Linked DNA regions of Danio rerio. The protein of the gene in region 1 interacts with the protein of each later gene in a pairwise test. Links are inferred from orthologs where the notes say so. Each region holds a gene or a part of one and is shown on either strand. Other genes may lie near its edges.

Region 1 (4,702 bases):
AGTCAAGCTATTATTTGTTGCTCTAACAACTGGGATTGACAACAAGACTTTGTCAAGTAGTGTAGATTTGTAAGAAACACAAAAAAGTACATTTAATTTTTGCATAATTTACATAATTTTTCATAAAAAACATTCACATGAATAAATGAAAGATTTATCAAAAAATACAGTATCCAAAATTCTTCCACCACATTAAAAAAACTGCTAATATAAGGATTTAAAAGTATTTTAACAGATACAAGTTATGACAATAAAAAAAGAACATTCTGCTCTCATGTGTGTCTGTATGTTTCTGCTTAGACTAAAGCTTATGAAATCTGTCTTCTTAAATGTCAAGATGTTTTGTTGTGGATACCTGTGGATTTGATTGATGAGGTGTGTGAAAGTCCATTGTGCTGTGTGTTCTCCACGCTCTCCAAACTGGACACTATTGACTTTGGCTTGAACTCTTTTTTGGGCCGACGGCTTGCTGTAGATATCCTGCAACATCAGATGCCAAAATATATTACTAACTCAATTGTATATTAAAGTAAATCTTTATTTCGTTCACAAAATACACATAGAATAAAATAAAAGTGTTTGCCTGGCATCCAAAGCAAGGAGATGAAACAAATAATAATAATAATAATAGTAATAATAATAATATTAAAATTGGAACTGTAAGATTCAAATGTTCCAATTACCTTTTCAGCACAGAACATAGATAAAGAGTAGATATAAATATGTCGTATCAGTAATGCTTTTATGAATATAGACTGGGTACTGGATGTTTTCTACTGAATGAGAGGGTGTGTGTGTGTGTGTGTGTGTGTGTGTGTGTGTGTGTGTGTGTGTGTGTGTGTGTGTGTGTGTGTGTGTGTGTGTGTGTGGTTAAAGGCACCTGTTCTGTAGTTTGCTGTCGAGGTCCTTCAGGATCTCCAGAGACTGTCTATGGTATTCTAGCGCTGCCTCAATTAGAGCTGATAACTGACTCACCTGCTCCACCTGCAGGTCAGAGCGGCACAATGCGTTTATACAGGTTATTAGTTAGTCAAAGGCTTATTTACAGTGTGATACAATGCCAGCTTCCTCAAGTATTAAAAATAGAAATAATGAAAAAATAAATAAATAAATAAATATTATAACATATAAACATATATATATATATATATATATATATATATATATATATATATATATATATATATATATATATATATATATATATATATATATATATATATATGAAATGTTAATAATACAAAATACAAAAAAAAAATTATTATACAAATTAAATAGACAAGATTAATATTGATTAATGTATTTCGTAAGCACTTTACAGACATACAGTTGAAGTAATAATACTGTAAATATAGCATTTGGCAAAATATTTATTAAATATGACAATTTCCAATGTAAATTAAGTGTATTTGCTTATTTTTTGTCAATAAAAAAATGTCAATAAAAAAGCTGTATTAATTGATGTCTTTTGATTATTTATATTTGATACTGTAACTCTCTGAATAATATGTATCAATAAAACTGTTAGACTTATTTACATACCCCTCACTGCATACCATCAAGGTTTAGCATGCACTTTAATGCACTTTAACCAGCAGCTAGATCTCTGCAACTCTCACATGGTCGCCCACTGAAGCTAATTAGGGCTGCGCCCAGTCAGTACCTGGATGGGAGACCACATTAGAAAGCTAGGTTGCTGCTGGAAGTGGTGTTAGTGGAAACAGCAGAGGTCTGAGTGGGTCCTAACGCCCCAGTATAGTGAAGGGGACTCTATACTGCTCAGTGAGCGCCGTTTTTCGGATGAGACAATAAACCTAGGTCCTGACTCTCTGTGGTCATTAAAAATTCTTCAAATGTTTCCTTCGAAAAGAGACAATTTTGCCCACTGGCCTGTCCATCATGGCCTCCTAACAATCCCCATATCATAATTGGCTTCATCACTCTGCCGTCTCTCCATCAATCAGTTGATGTGTGGTGTGTGATCTGGCACAATATGTAAATGTCCTCTAAATGTGTGTAAAGCACTTTGAGCGTCTAGAAAAGCGTTATATAAATGTAAGGAATTCTAATTAACCAAATCCTTACCTAAAACAATATTGCCTACAATATTTTCCAGCAACAGTCAAACTACGTGTACACCTTTTTGACTGTGTACTTGTCTATCTGTGCCCACATGTGTGTTTTTCTTGACGCATTTATTGTCCTTCATGTATTAATTGTCTTTTATGTATTACTGTTAACATTGCTAACTGTATATTGTTTTGTTTCTTAGAGCATATTGTTGTATTGTGCACTGTCTGGAGCCAGCAACAAAGCTTTTCACTCATCATAGTACACATGCTGCTGTTGATGTGACAAAAAAGTAATTTGATTCGTTTTAATTTGATTTGATTTTGAAACAAAGTATTATACTTGTATTGAATTGTTTTGGACCCCTCATAGTCTTAATTTGTTTAAAGTGTACTACACTGAATGGCATTTTAGCGAATGTAGGTACATCATGGTAAAAATGGTACTATATGATAGTTTATTCCAATAAAAGATTAATTAAGAAGAACACAGTTAAACTTACATTAAAAAAGCTGTATTAATTGATGTCTTGAGATTCTTTATATATGATACTGTACCTCTCTGACTAACATGCATCAATAAAACTGAGTTAAACTAAAAAGAAAGCTGGATTATACTTGTATCGCATCGTTTTGACCCCTCATAAACTGCCTCTTACATCGTTCTCCAGAAAGTTGAACATGCTCCTCTCGGCGAGCTCTTTGGACTCCTCAAACTTCTCCACGGCCTGTTTGATCTCCTCATCGGGAATCTTGCCCTGACGCTTCTTCTTGTAGTCAAAGTCTAACCGTCGACCCTCCAGCTTCTTTAGATGATGCTGTCGAGAAACACACAAAGACATTCTTACATTACGCAATCAGCCAAGAAAGATAATCTACTGACCGATAATGCTAACCATACAACAATATTGATCAATTAATCAGAAGAGCTATTAATCATTAAGCTTTAAATTCCTGTGAAGTGCTTAGAAATGTGCAGTTTTGTTCTATGTGACTGACATGGCTAAAACTAATGATAGGAAGACTCAGCCCTTTGAGTTTCGTTCAGTGAGATGAACGAATCTTTGAGTCATTTCGTACAATTTGCTGTAATATTATTAAAATGTTACAAGTTGCTTCCAAACACATCCACAACTAGCCCAAGCATTGATCACACTACAAACAAGCCATATCTAGAATGCTTTTGTCTATGATTAGCTCAGCTCACCTCTTCTGACATGTCTACAAAATTGAGTCGTTTGTTCACGAGAGATAGACAGTCCCATAAAAGCTTAACCAATGCACACAATCTGAGCCAAAAGGAGCTATGATTAGTTCACCATTCAAATCTTCGGGTTTTTGAGTCGTTTGTTCATTACGACAGCACGTAAAGAGATGAATGATTAAAACCGAGCACTGGAAAAATTAAAGGATCAAATCTTTTTCCAGCTTTGACTACATATGATTGGCTTCTGTCTTTCACACGATGAATGAACGACTCAAACCTGAGGACTCAAGAAATGAACGAAACAAATCTTTTTCCAGCTCTGACTGCAAATGATTGGCTTGTCTTTCACACAATGAACAACGTCTCAAACCTGAGGACTCGAGAGATGAATGGATCAAATCTTTTTCCGGCTTTGACTACATTTGATTGGCTTCTGTCTTTCATGCAATGAACGAATGACTCAAACCTGAGAACTCGAGTAATGAAAGAAACAAATCTTTTTCCAGCTCTGACTGCAAATGATTGGCTTCTGTCTTTCATACAATGAACAAACGTCTCAAACCGAACACTCGAGAAATGAACGAATCAAATATTTTTCCGGCTTTGACTATATATGATTGACTTCTGTCTTTCACATGATAAACAAACGACTCAAACCTGAGGACTTGAGAAATGAACGGATCAAATTGTTTCCAGCTCTAACAGAATATGATTGGCTTTTGCCTTTCATATGATGAACGAACAACTCAAACCGAGGACTCAAGAAATGAACGGAGCAAATCTTTTTCTGGCTTAGGATTGACTTCTGTCTTTCACACGATGAATGAACACCTCAAACCTGAGGACTCGAGAAATGAACGAATCAAATCTTTTTCTGACTTTGACTGCATATGGTTGGCTTTTGTCATTCACATGAACAAACGACTCAAACCAAGGAATCAAGAAATGAATGGATCAAATCTTTTTCTAGCTTTGACTACATATGACTGGCTTCTGTCTTTCACATGATAAACGTACGACAAACCGAGGACTCGAGAAATGAACGGATCAAATAATTTTTCCAGCTTTGACTGCATATGATTGGTTTCTGTCTTTCACACGATGAACGAACGACTCAAACCTGAGGACTTAAGAAATAGACGGATCAAATAATATTCCGTCTTTGACTACAAATGTTTGGCTTCTGTCTTTCACACGATGAACGAATGACTTAAACCAAGGACTCAAGAAATTAACGGATGAAATTTTTTCCGGCTTTGACTGCATTTGATTGGCCTCTGTCTTTCATGTGACGAACGAACGACTCAAACTGAAGACTCAAGAAATGAACGGATAGAAAAGGAACTGATCTTCTACCCCACCTGCACAAATGTGCTTATGCATGAATGAACGAATCTCTCCCTGAGAGGAGTCATTGTTCTCGAAT
Region 2 (5,427 bases), on another chromosome or scaffold:
AGTTATGCCAAAGATTTGTTTAAAAAAGTCTTAATTGAGTAATTCGTAAACACAAATATAACGTTAACCATACTTTTAATCGTACAAACACAAATGTCTCGCACAGAAGAAACGATGAAGTTGTCGTTTATTTATCCGGTGTAACTACCCACGCATCCCGTTGCTAGGATACGGTCACGTGGGGGTAATCAACAGCCTGAGAGCGGTTGTTGACGAGAAGTTCACAAGTTAGGCTATTATTTATATTTTTTTATTAAAATTTTCAATAATTGTTAAATCCTATCTAGACTTCACCCCTCTGAGAGCATACAGGGTTCATAAGATTTTTTATTTAAAATATGATCACACAATACAGTTTCTACATTTCATTTTTTTAAATCTTGCCATAAACATTATTAGCTAAATAATGATGGACTATATAACCTGATTTTTAAAATTTTTATTTTAATGTTATTTTCTAAGAACCTCTGAGCCACTGATTTTAGAGGAAACGCCAATGCTGACTGTGCTGCTTGATATTTTTTAAGGAAACCGAAACATATTTAGTTGTCTTTAATGAGTTGAAAAAAAACAGCATTAATGTACTTTTGTTAAATAAAAGTATTTCGTTAAACCAATTCACAGAACAACAGGCCCTTAAGCAGACTATTGAAATGGTGGTTCTGTGGACCTTTTTACAGTTATTTAATTTCTAATAAATTATAAGGTTCAAATATGGCATTTTAAGTGACATTTTCAAGCACTAATCTTTGTTGGATTAGCTTTTCGGATGGTCATCAAAACCACAATCTTTGATGGAACAAAAATATTTCCTTTAATTTTGTCAGAAATGTTCACTATACTATTTTACCATGTGCATTTAAACTGTACGTTATTTACAGTTTTCTTTCGAACCACCCGAAGCACCCTGGCTACAGACCTGTACAAAGAATCTACATTTTTACATTATCAACTTTATTGTGTAAGATTTATAGGCATTTTTCCTTTTTTTTTCTTATCTAAATTATTTAGGTCCACATATGACAAGTTTATGAGTATTTGTGCATTCAGGTTAAAACCATTGACTTCTATTTTCTTTTTCCACTATTGAAGTTAATCGTTACAGATTTTTAGCTTTCTTCAAAATATCTTCTTTTCCTGAAGGTTTGAAACCAAATGAGGGCGAGTGAATTTTGAGTAAATTTTTATTTTTGGATGAACTATTCATGTAATTTCAAGTTAATTACATATTTTAAATCACAAAAAAAAAAAAAACTAAAACATACACAAAGAGGAAAATGAGTCAATGGAAAAACATTGTTTAGTTGACCATATTTAGATCAAGGGTTACATGAGGATAACGCTTTATTTAATAATTGCTTAAAATCTCAAAGCAGAGAGTAAAATAGTGTATATTAATTAGATTACTGTTTTAAATATTAAACTCGAAGAAATAAAACTAATCAGAACAACTAGGCCAAATAGAGCTTGAAGAATTTAACTGTATATATTTCACCACCAGTCACCTGGTCTAGCGCCAAAGCACACACGCACAAAGTGATCAGTGCATCTTCTGAAAATAGTGCGCTCGACATATGCGCATCATTCCTCAAATCTAACATTCATCCATTTCTAATATTATCTGAATAGTGTATTACGTTCTTAGAATATTTACAATAACTATTGACGATCATTTCTTCTGGAACCAATAAAACCATCAATAGGAGTACACACATTCCTGGGATGTGTATATATCCTTCCGCCACTTTTTGTGGCTTTTCAGACTGTTTAGGTCTATCGGTCAGTGCTGAAGCCCCGCGTGAACTGTGTATATCACTGAAAATACCGCACTAAAAATAACAAAATAGCGAAATTACCGGGTTGGTATTTTTGTAGACATCTAAAACATATGGGTCGTCCGCGCTTTGCTTTTAAAACGGGCTGAATTGTCTCTGTTTAGGAGGAATTAATCAGCAGAGCTAGCTGAAGTAGCAGGCAGCGTCAGTGGAGACTCGAGTAACTGGAGGAGCAGTTTTACACGTTGGCTGTCACTAGATCAACTGTCAGCTAACACGTCAAATAGCATTTTCCGCTCTCGTCCGCGGCATCAAACGTTTTTTTTCCAAACAGTCAGACAACTCTGCTCAAGCTGTCGTTTATGGGATCATCATGTCCATGAAGCCGCAGGCCGGTGGTAATCGCAAACCCGGCGGAAGCAACAGCGGAGCCGCTGCGGCCTCCGGTACCGGGGGAGCAGGAGGAGGCGTCGGACGCCAGAACATGGGCAGGTGGGTGACCAATCTGCATAACAGGCTTTTAATTCGGATGGACCGACGAGCGTGAACCAACACGGGAATGCGGCATGCCTGCACTAGTGTCGTAGTTTAAAAACGCAGGTTGTGGAGTTGCAGTGATCAGGATAGAGCGCAAGTAGGCCGATATAGGCCAAGTTCACAGGACAGGGATTCACAGGTTAATGGACGCAAACTACTGCGGTTATAAAATAACAGCTGATAGCGGACAACATGTTCGTGTATATTTCGAGAGGGGCGGGTTGTCTGCTGTGGGTGCTGGTCACGTTCAGGATGAATTGTGCGTCTTTGCCGGTGGGATATGGCTGTGCCAGCTTTTCCCAGGACAGATGCTTTTGTATCGTGTCGGAATCTGTTATAGGATTGAACGTGTTTGACATTTTAGTCACTTACAAAGAAATAATCTGAGAGTCATAACGTTACAGTGGGTATAGAAGCAAGTGTTAGCCTGCTAACTACTGTAGCAAACATTTATCTGCTCATACTGTCAGAAATCTGTCTAATTTAACAGGATTTAAAGTATGTTTTGTAGATTAACATCATTCAGGTTTTTGGTCATTATGTAATCGAGAGATCATAGTTTTTCTACAACGTTTTACCAATTGCTTCTGATTTGTGTCAGTCCAAACAAAAAAGGGTTGTTTGCTACAGATAACGTTACCTAGTTTTATGCTTTTATCTTCCCGTCAGCTGATTTGTAACCTCTTCTGAGGTGCCCCTGAATCGATGTTTTGGGAATTCATCATCCATTATGAGATGTCACATGTTAGCTCTCTGTTTGACTATTGACAATGACATTAACTCAGCGTCCGATTTAGATTTCTTGAATTCCGTTAGCTGAGGGCCACTAGGTCGAATCTGCGTGTTTCCCGTTACTTTTCGATTGATCCTTCATGTTGGAACTATCTGTCAGTCGCGTGCATTTCCGATGAGGGGCGGCGCGCGCGCTCACGAGGACAAGCGCTTAGTAGAGTGGAAAGTCAGAGAGCTGCACTCTCAACCTTGACGTTTACAAGAGGTTGCATGCATAAGTCTGTCCTTGCATAATGACGTTTGAGTAAGTATGTTGTGTAGAGGTGTGACAGACGAATGTTATTGTCGTGGTTTGTGTTGAGCTGTCATGAATGAAGAAATTAACAGTGGAAACTTTTAATCTAACAGCTGAGAATTGGCATCACATAGTTGCACACTGCATGGGGAAAATGTGATTATTGTTTACGCAAAACAACAAGAGTGATATGACTTGTACAAGATTGTGGGAATCTTGAGTGGTGCAGTGGAGCCTTTCACTGCCTGTAATGCAGCACTTGATTTGCAGCCTGGCTGTTGAAAAATAATTGTCATTCACAGCTTTTATCTTACTAATGTATTTTAATGTACTAGATGCTGATAGTTTTTGCCTAATCTTTGAGCACTGAACTTATTTTGCTGCACATTAGAGATCTTGTTGAAATTTTGTCCAACACATTGAAAGCTTTACAATTCAGAATCTGTCATATGTTTGAGGTATATGGCTGTTAGTGGATATGAGTCACGTACTGTCAGTAAAATGCAGATTTTCTTTTTAGAGTCTGTTGTTTGGGAACTACATAAGTGCTTCTTTGCACAATGAATTGCATGAAGCATATGATTATTTGTCACTCCTTTGTCATTACAGCTTTGAGTGTTTGCCAGTACATGTGCAATCGATAACCCTACTGGAATCACTTGAATTTGTGTTCGTAGGAGTGTGTGACTTTTTTTGCTCTTTAAACCGTGTGTACAGCATGTCAAAGATTTTCTGTGTATGCATATGGTTATAGTTCAACTGTTATAAAACTTCTCAGTCATGCTGTTTTCTCTCCTCCCAACAGAGGACGCAACAATGCCAAAGGACCCTCTACTGCAGTGAGTTTCGGCTTTTCTTTTTTTCATTTATTCATAGTGTAAATTTATTAAATTGATTCGCATACAAATTTATATTCCCTGTTGAATCATATATACAGTGCTCAGCTTAATTGAGTACACCCCGTTTCGAAAATAAATATTTTTATCCATTTCTCAGTAAATATAGGCAATGTAGTTTGGTGCATTTAAACAAAACAGGTTTATTAAACAGATGTATTTATTAAAGTTATATTTTAGTCACCAGACATATTTAGAAGTATAGAGTATTTAGAAATAATACAATTAATAAATTTGTAGGTTGTATTTTTTTCCCGATATTTTACTTGAATTTAATCAAGCAAAAAAATTACAACCTACAAATTTTCAACTTAATTTTTAAATTTTTGCTTCTTGTTTTTTCCTCATTTTAAATTTTTGTTTAATATTTTTCTATAACAGATATATGTGGGTGTACTAGTTTTTTGGGCCTTCATCGTAAGTTATTTTGTTAGATAAACTCCAGATTTGGCTTCAGTACTGACTAATGGCACAAATATAATATTGTATAGCTTCCTGTTAAAATATGAACATAAAAGATAGATTTTTGAGGGGTGTACTTGTATATGCTGAGCACTGTATCAGCACATTGAAAGCTGCTCAGCCAATTAAAATATAGATACTTGTAAATTGTATATCTCTTTACCTCAGGCAGAAATGTTGTTGATTGTTCTTTTTTAGGTGGCCTTCAATGGAGTTTATGCAAACATGAGGATGGTTCATGTTTTGACCTCAGTTGTGGTAAGTATAAATGCACAGCTGTAATTATATTCTTTTTTTAATCAGTTTTACCAAAGCACAACAAATACACTCCTACTGAAATTTCGTTTTCTGGTTCACCACTCAACAGGGAACCAAATGTGAACTTAAGGTTAAAAATGGCCTGATCTATGAAGGGGTTTTTAAAACATATGGCCCAGAGGTAAGGATACCACTTTGTATTGCTGATGTTAAGCATTTCTATCACTGTTAAGCACAAGAAAAATGTAATTCTAGTTCGGACATAGGTGACATATGTCCATTTTTTTTATTGTCGTGGGCTCTTCATTTGCAGTGTGACATTGTCTTGGATGCTGCACACAGGAAGAGTGTAGAACCTAATGCGGGCCCTCGCCGTGAGGATATTGTGGAGAGCATCATCTTCAAGTCCTCAGATGTAGTGGTAGTTCATTTCAAAGATGTGGACCTCAACTATGCCAAGAAAGGTGAGACC
Region 3 (5,492 bases), on another chromosome or scaffold:
ACAAATCAGTTTTAAAACTAGAAATTCTAGTTTTAGAAAATCAGTTTGAAACTCTAGAAATCTGTGTCTTTGAAACTAAAAGATAGCAAAGTCAATGATTTATTTCAATTAATTAGCCATGTTAGCCATTTACTGTTTCAAAATATTTGTAAGGTTTCTTAAAATATATTGTGTTCAATGCGAGGGAAAATGGTTGCTGTTTTTTCAGAAATTTAAAAGAAGCTTTAAAGATAATTTTTAAAGATAGATTTTTGATATATGAAGATTATCATACTGTCAGTCTTGTTCTAGTGTTCTGTCAATTTGTCCAACGTTGTCAGACTGTCCAACCTCCCCTTCAAAAAGTAGGTAGAAAAATCAATATGCTACCTATCAGACTTTGCTACAAGTGTAAATTTTAATATGGAGTAGTGTGATATGAAGCTGTAATATCGCCCTAACCTACCTAATCCCTAACCCCAATATCAGAACCATTCAAATACAGTATGGGCAACATAATCTGATGGGTAGGATAAAATGTCAGGACACCAGCACAAAATTTTCCTCACTCATGCTACTTGTCCCATAAACACACAGCAGTGTCATTCACTTACTTTTTGGCCTTGTAGACGTAGGCACAGCGTTTGCCCAGGTAGAAGTCGACCTCGCCACGGTTGTAAACTCCCTCTAACTTTAGCAGAGCTGTGTGCTCACGCTGGTTCCTCAGGCCACGCTTGTAGCCAGCAAAGATGGCCTTGCTCCACAGCCTAAAAACAGACAGTTTGATCATTTTCAGCCATGTTAAAGTATAATTTAAGGTAAAGTTGGCTTCATACTCGCACGTTCATTCAGTGACAACTTGACACAGTTCCTTTATTATTTATTGAGCTACTTTGAATATTCAGTCGGAAATAGCATGTAAAAAACAACTTGAACAACATTGTACTCATCTGAAATAATATTACCAAAGAGAAAGTCAGCACGTGCGAATACAAAACCAACTTTACCTCAATATGTTTTTATGGTTGAAAAATAATACCAAGAAACAACAGCTAGAAAAATCTTAATAGATTTCCAAAAAGTACAAATCAGCATGAAAAAAAAACAAAGCAAATTAAATAAATTATAACAAAGTGCAAAAACAAAATAAAGGGGCTCACTTTTCAATAAAAGACCTTCAATAGATTAGTTATGGGGCTTTTAATGACACAAAAGCATTAGGGACTTAAAGAAATCTTTTAGAAAGTAAAAAAGTGGTTTATGAATCAAGTTATTGGCCAACACCACAATATCATCAACCCAAAAATTTAACTTGTGGCACAGTCCCTATACTGTTTACCACACTACTTTGAATATTGAGTGTAATATTGCATGCAAGTATGACTTCAAAACAAAATCAGCACTGTTTAATTGACTAAATGTTGTACTTTAATAGTCACTGGCTGATAATATGATTTAGAATTTGCAAGGAATATTTTTCTGAAATGTTATTACTAAAGAGAAAGTCAGCATGTGTGAATATAAATCAACTTCACCTCAATGTTTTTTACGGTTGAAAGATAATACCTAGAAACAATAGTTAAAAAAATCTTAATGGATTTCCAAAAAGTACAAACAACAAGGTAAATTAAATTATAACAGTACAAAATCAAAATAAAGGGGCTCACTCCTCAAAAAAGACCTTCAAAAGATTAGCTATGGGCTATGATCCATAAGCTTCAGGGATTTGAAAAAATCTTGTTGAAAAAGAGAGTCGCTTATTAACCAAGTAATTGGCCAACATCACAATATCATGAACCTAAAAATTCAAAATGAGGTAAAGTTGGTTTTAGTCACATATTTGTTCAGTGACAACTTGTGGCAGAGTCCCTATATTGTGAACAACGCTACTAAATATTTGGTCTGAAATCGTATGCAAGTATGACTTCAAAACAACATCAGCACTGTTTAATTGACTGTGAACAACGTTGTACTTTGACAGTCATTGGCTGCTTATATGATTTCCCTATTTAGAGTTTACAAAGAATACTTTTCTGAAATTATATTATCAAAAAGTCCGCACGTGCAAATAGAAAACCAAATTTACCTGTTTTTTTTAAGGTTGAAAGAACATTACACCAACTAACAATTAGAAAAATCTTAATAGAACTCCAAAATGTAAAAATCAGCATAAAATAAAATAAAAATATCAGAAAAAAATGTACAACTAAAATAAAGGGGTTTATTTTTCAAAACAATATCAAACAGATTAGTTAGACCTTTTAATGATGCATAAGCTTAAGCGATTTATAGAAATATATTTGAAAATGTAATAGCGTAATTTGCCAACACCACAATACCATCAACCTAAAAATTCTAATTGTGGTAAAGTTAGTTTTATATTTACACATTCGTTCATTTTTGAACAGTGACAACTTGTGACATGCTCCCTATACGTTTACCACACTACTTTGAATATTCAGTCAACTGATATTGTTTGCAAGACTTCAAAACAACATTAGCACTATTAAATTGACCATGAACAATTTCCTTTGACAGTCATTGCCTGGTAATGATTTCCCTGTTTAGAATTTGCAAACAATACTTCTGCTGAAAGAGGTTGCATTAAGAATAGGATATTAAGAATATTAATGTGGCGAAAGTCTAAAGGTGCAAATATAAACCAACTTTACCTCAAATTCCAACATCACAATTCCTTTATAACAAGGGTCACCAATCTCGTTCCTGGAGGTCCGGTGCCCTGCAGAGTTCAGCTCCAACTTGCCTCAACACACCTGCCTGGGTGTTTCAAGTATACCTAGTAAGACCTTGATTGGCTTGTTCAGGTGTGTTTGATTAGGGCTGGAGCTAAAATCTGCAGGACACCGGCCCTCCAGGAACAAGTCTGATGATCCCTGTTTTATAGATTTAAATAAGTCAGGTATGACAGGCATTTAACTTAGCTAATAGATGTCATCTCACTTTAACTTATATAAAATAAACCTAAATAATCAGTTCGAAAGACTCCATATCTTCTTCAAAAATTGTGCATTGATTACAATTCACATTAAATAAGTGGCTGAGCAATAGACAAAAGATTAACGCTTGATAAAGTTTGTGAACATTTCTCCATCAACTCAAATTTACAACACTGACAGCTTTTCGAGTCTTACCTTCCGGGCATGATGATCCTTTGACCAGGCTAACAAACCTAAATAACAAAACAATACGAACACATTTAAGTGTGAGGATCAAAAATGTGAGCTCGTTGTGTCTTAAATACATTTGTGCTGGCTGCATTCAAAGTAATGTCGGAGCTGCTGCATGTTTATGCTAAATGCTAACACGTTCTTACACAAACTTACTTGCTTCATGGTTATTATTACTTACTAGAAATAAGGAAATTAGACATGTAAATGTTCTACAAAACTCAAGCTTAAAAGTATACTTTAATAACACGTTTGCGAAAGGCAGAAATGAGCTCCGGGTCTCGGTTTAGCTGGAGCCGAGTGGACCATACAATCCGTTTCAAATCCAAAGCATCTTACGTCCCACAGAGGCGAAATCATCTGTATATGGACTTAATTAATGTGTTCATCTATATTAGTGTAAATCGTGGTTTAGTTTACATCAGATGAGGCTAAAACATCACATTTTAAAAGTCGAGCTGTTAAACGCTCACCTGATTCTATCTCAAAAATGGAGGAAAAGGCCGCTCGCAAGGAACGCTGGGAAAATGTTAGCAGCGGCGGCTGAAGATCTGCCTGACTGAAATTAAAGCGGGATGTTCCTCATTTATATTTCTTCGTGGATATAACTGAATTACTTGCAAATATGGGGACAGTTGTTCATAAAAATATATATGTTATTATATTTATTTGTATTCCACATTAACCTATATATTATCATCAACAATAACATACAAAAATCATTCAAAAGTATTAAAAGTAAAATTTTTAAAATAATATATAAAATATAATCCATTTCTATTTTGTTTGCACATCTATTATATATTGAAATTGTAGTTGCATATTTCATTTTTTATTTTACGTTAGGCTAGTTTGGTATTTCACTGGAGTTGTTTATACTCACTAATTATATCCAGCTTTTCATTGTACTGATATATTTTCAAGGATTTAAGATGTTTTTTAACTTTGTTTTATCCATTAATCCTGTTTTGATCAAATATATGAACTTTTGTTTGTGTGTTTAACCTCATATCTGCTTTATCCATTTGATTCATTAAGTTGATTTGAGCTTATTTGAAGCATATGACCAATCTTTGACTCTGGGGGTGTAGGGTAAAGTCCAACAAATTTAACCTGAGCCAATGTTAACTGTCTGTTGCCACGATTGATGAAATATGAACCATTTTCCATTTTGGTTAGTCTTTTTTAATCATTCTCAAGGTTTCCATAATCCTGGACCAGACCGTGTCCTGAGCAGCTGCTGTGATGATCTTGGAGGAGTGAAGAGCATGAGACTGATTCCTGTAAGACCCCAGTGACAGACAGACGAGTCTCCGCATTGATCCTGTGGCCCAGCCTGTACACCAGCCGGTGACCTCTCCCATCTGCAGCTTCTCCACGATGGACGTCCATCGGTGCCTAGCGGTGCCTAGACTGCAGCTCTGCACAAGACATTGGTAATAGAAGAAATGGTCGTGCCCACCTGAGCCAGGTTTCCCTCTAGGTTTTTTTTTTCCTCACTCTCGCAAATTGGTGAAGTTTGTTCCTCGCCACTGGCTTGCATGGTTTGGGACCCTAGAGCTGCGCATCGATGGATGTGCTCTTCAATGTTTTGACTTTCAGCAGTGAAAATTAAACCACACTGAACTGAACTTAAACTCTGAAAACTGGACTGACAGTTTCAATTTACTATGATCGTCTATGTTAACCTGCGTTGACACAATCTACATTGCAAAAGTGCTATTGAAATAAAGATGAATTGAATTTTCCCCCCCTTAAAATGATAATGCTTTCTGAACAATTTTAACCTCATAGGAAGTCCTCGAAATTCACTTCTATTCAGATTTAATCAACCTCAAAAGGCAACCTGGAGGTGTATGAGTTTTTTCTATCATGAATGCATCCAGGATGGCGCAGTGGCTCAGTGGTTAGCACTGTTGCCTCACAGCAAGAAAGTTGCTGATTCATGTCTCTGTTGGATCAGTTTGCATTTCTGTGCGGAGTTTGCATGTTCTCCTCGTGTTGTCTTGAGTTTCCTCTGGGTGCTCCGGTTTCCCCTACAATCTAAAGACATGCGCTATAGGTGAATTGAATAAACTAAATTGGCCGTAGTGTATGAGTGTGAATGAGTGTGTATGGGTGTTTTCCAGTACTGGGTTGCAGTTGGAAGGGCATCCGCTGTGTAAAACATATGATGGATAAATTGGCGGTTCATTCCAGGTGCTCCGGTTTCCCCCACAGTCCAAAGACATAAAGTGCAGGTGAATTGGGTAGACTAAATTGTCCGTAGTGTATGAGTGTGTATGGATGGCATCCCAGAGATGGGTTGCGGCTGGAAGGGCATCC

What was found.
Region 2: the proteins of sh3gl3a (region 1) and atxn2 interact in binary tests that used the Homo sapiens proteins (3 or more experiments, as listed by UniProt). The link is inferred for Danio rerio from reciprocal best matches to the Homo sapiens genes SH3GL3 and ATXN2.
Region 3: the proteins of sh3gl3a (region 1) and rpl35a interact in a two-hybrid assay, tested with the Homo sapiens proteins (2 studies listed by BioGRID and IntAct). The link is inferred for Danio rerio from reciprocal best matches to the Homo sapiens genes SH3GL3 and RPL35A.

The regions. Positions count from the first base shown.
Region 1 is NC_133182.1:12,818,453-12,823,154, forward strand, and holds part of sh3gl3a (endophilin-A3a), read right to left. Parts: intron 2,888-4,702; coding exon 2,729-2,887; intron 985-2,728; coding exon 881-984; intron 481-880; coding exon 356-480; intron 1-355. UniProt on the Homo sapiens protein: Implicated in endocytosis. May recruit other proteins to membranes with high curvature.
Region 2 is NC_133180.1:42,590,899-42,596,325, reverse strand, and holds the start of atxn2 (ataxin-2), read left to right. Parts: upstream 1-1,760; 5' UTR 1,761-2,148; coding exon 2,149-2,267; intron 2,268-4,144; coding exon 4,145-4,178; intron 4,179-4,895; coding exon 4,896-4,955; intron 4,956-5,064; coding exon 5,065-5,136; intron 5,137-5,268; coding exon 5,269-5,419; intron 5,420-5,427. UniProt on the Homo sapiens protein: Involved in EGFR trafficking, acting as negative regulator of endocytic EGFR internalization at the plasma membrane.
Region 3 is NC_133193.1:48,778,521-48,784,012, reverse strand, and holds the start of rpl35a (large ribosomal subunit protein eL33), read right to left. Parts: upstream 3,668-5,492; 5' UTR 3,641-3,667; intron 3,170-3,640; 5' UTR 3,143-3,169; coding exon 3,132-3,142; intron 747-3,131; coding exon 594-746; intron 1-593.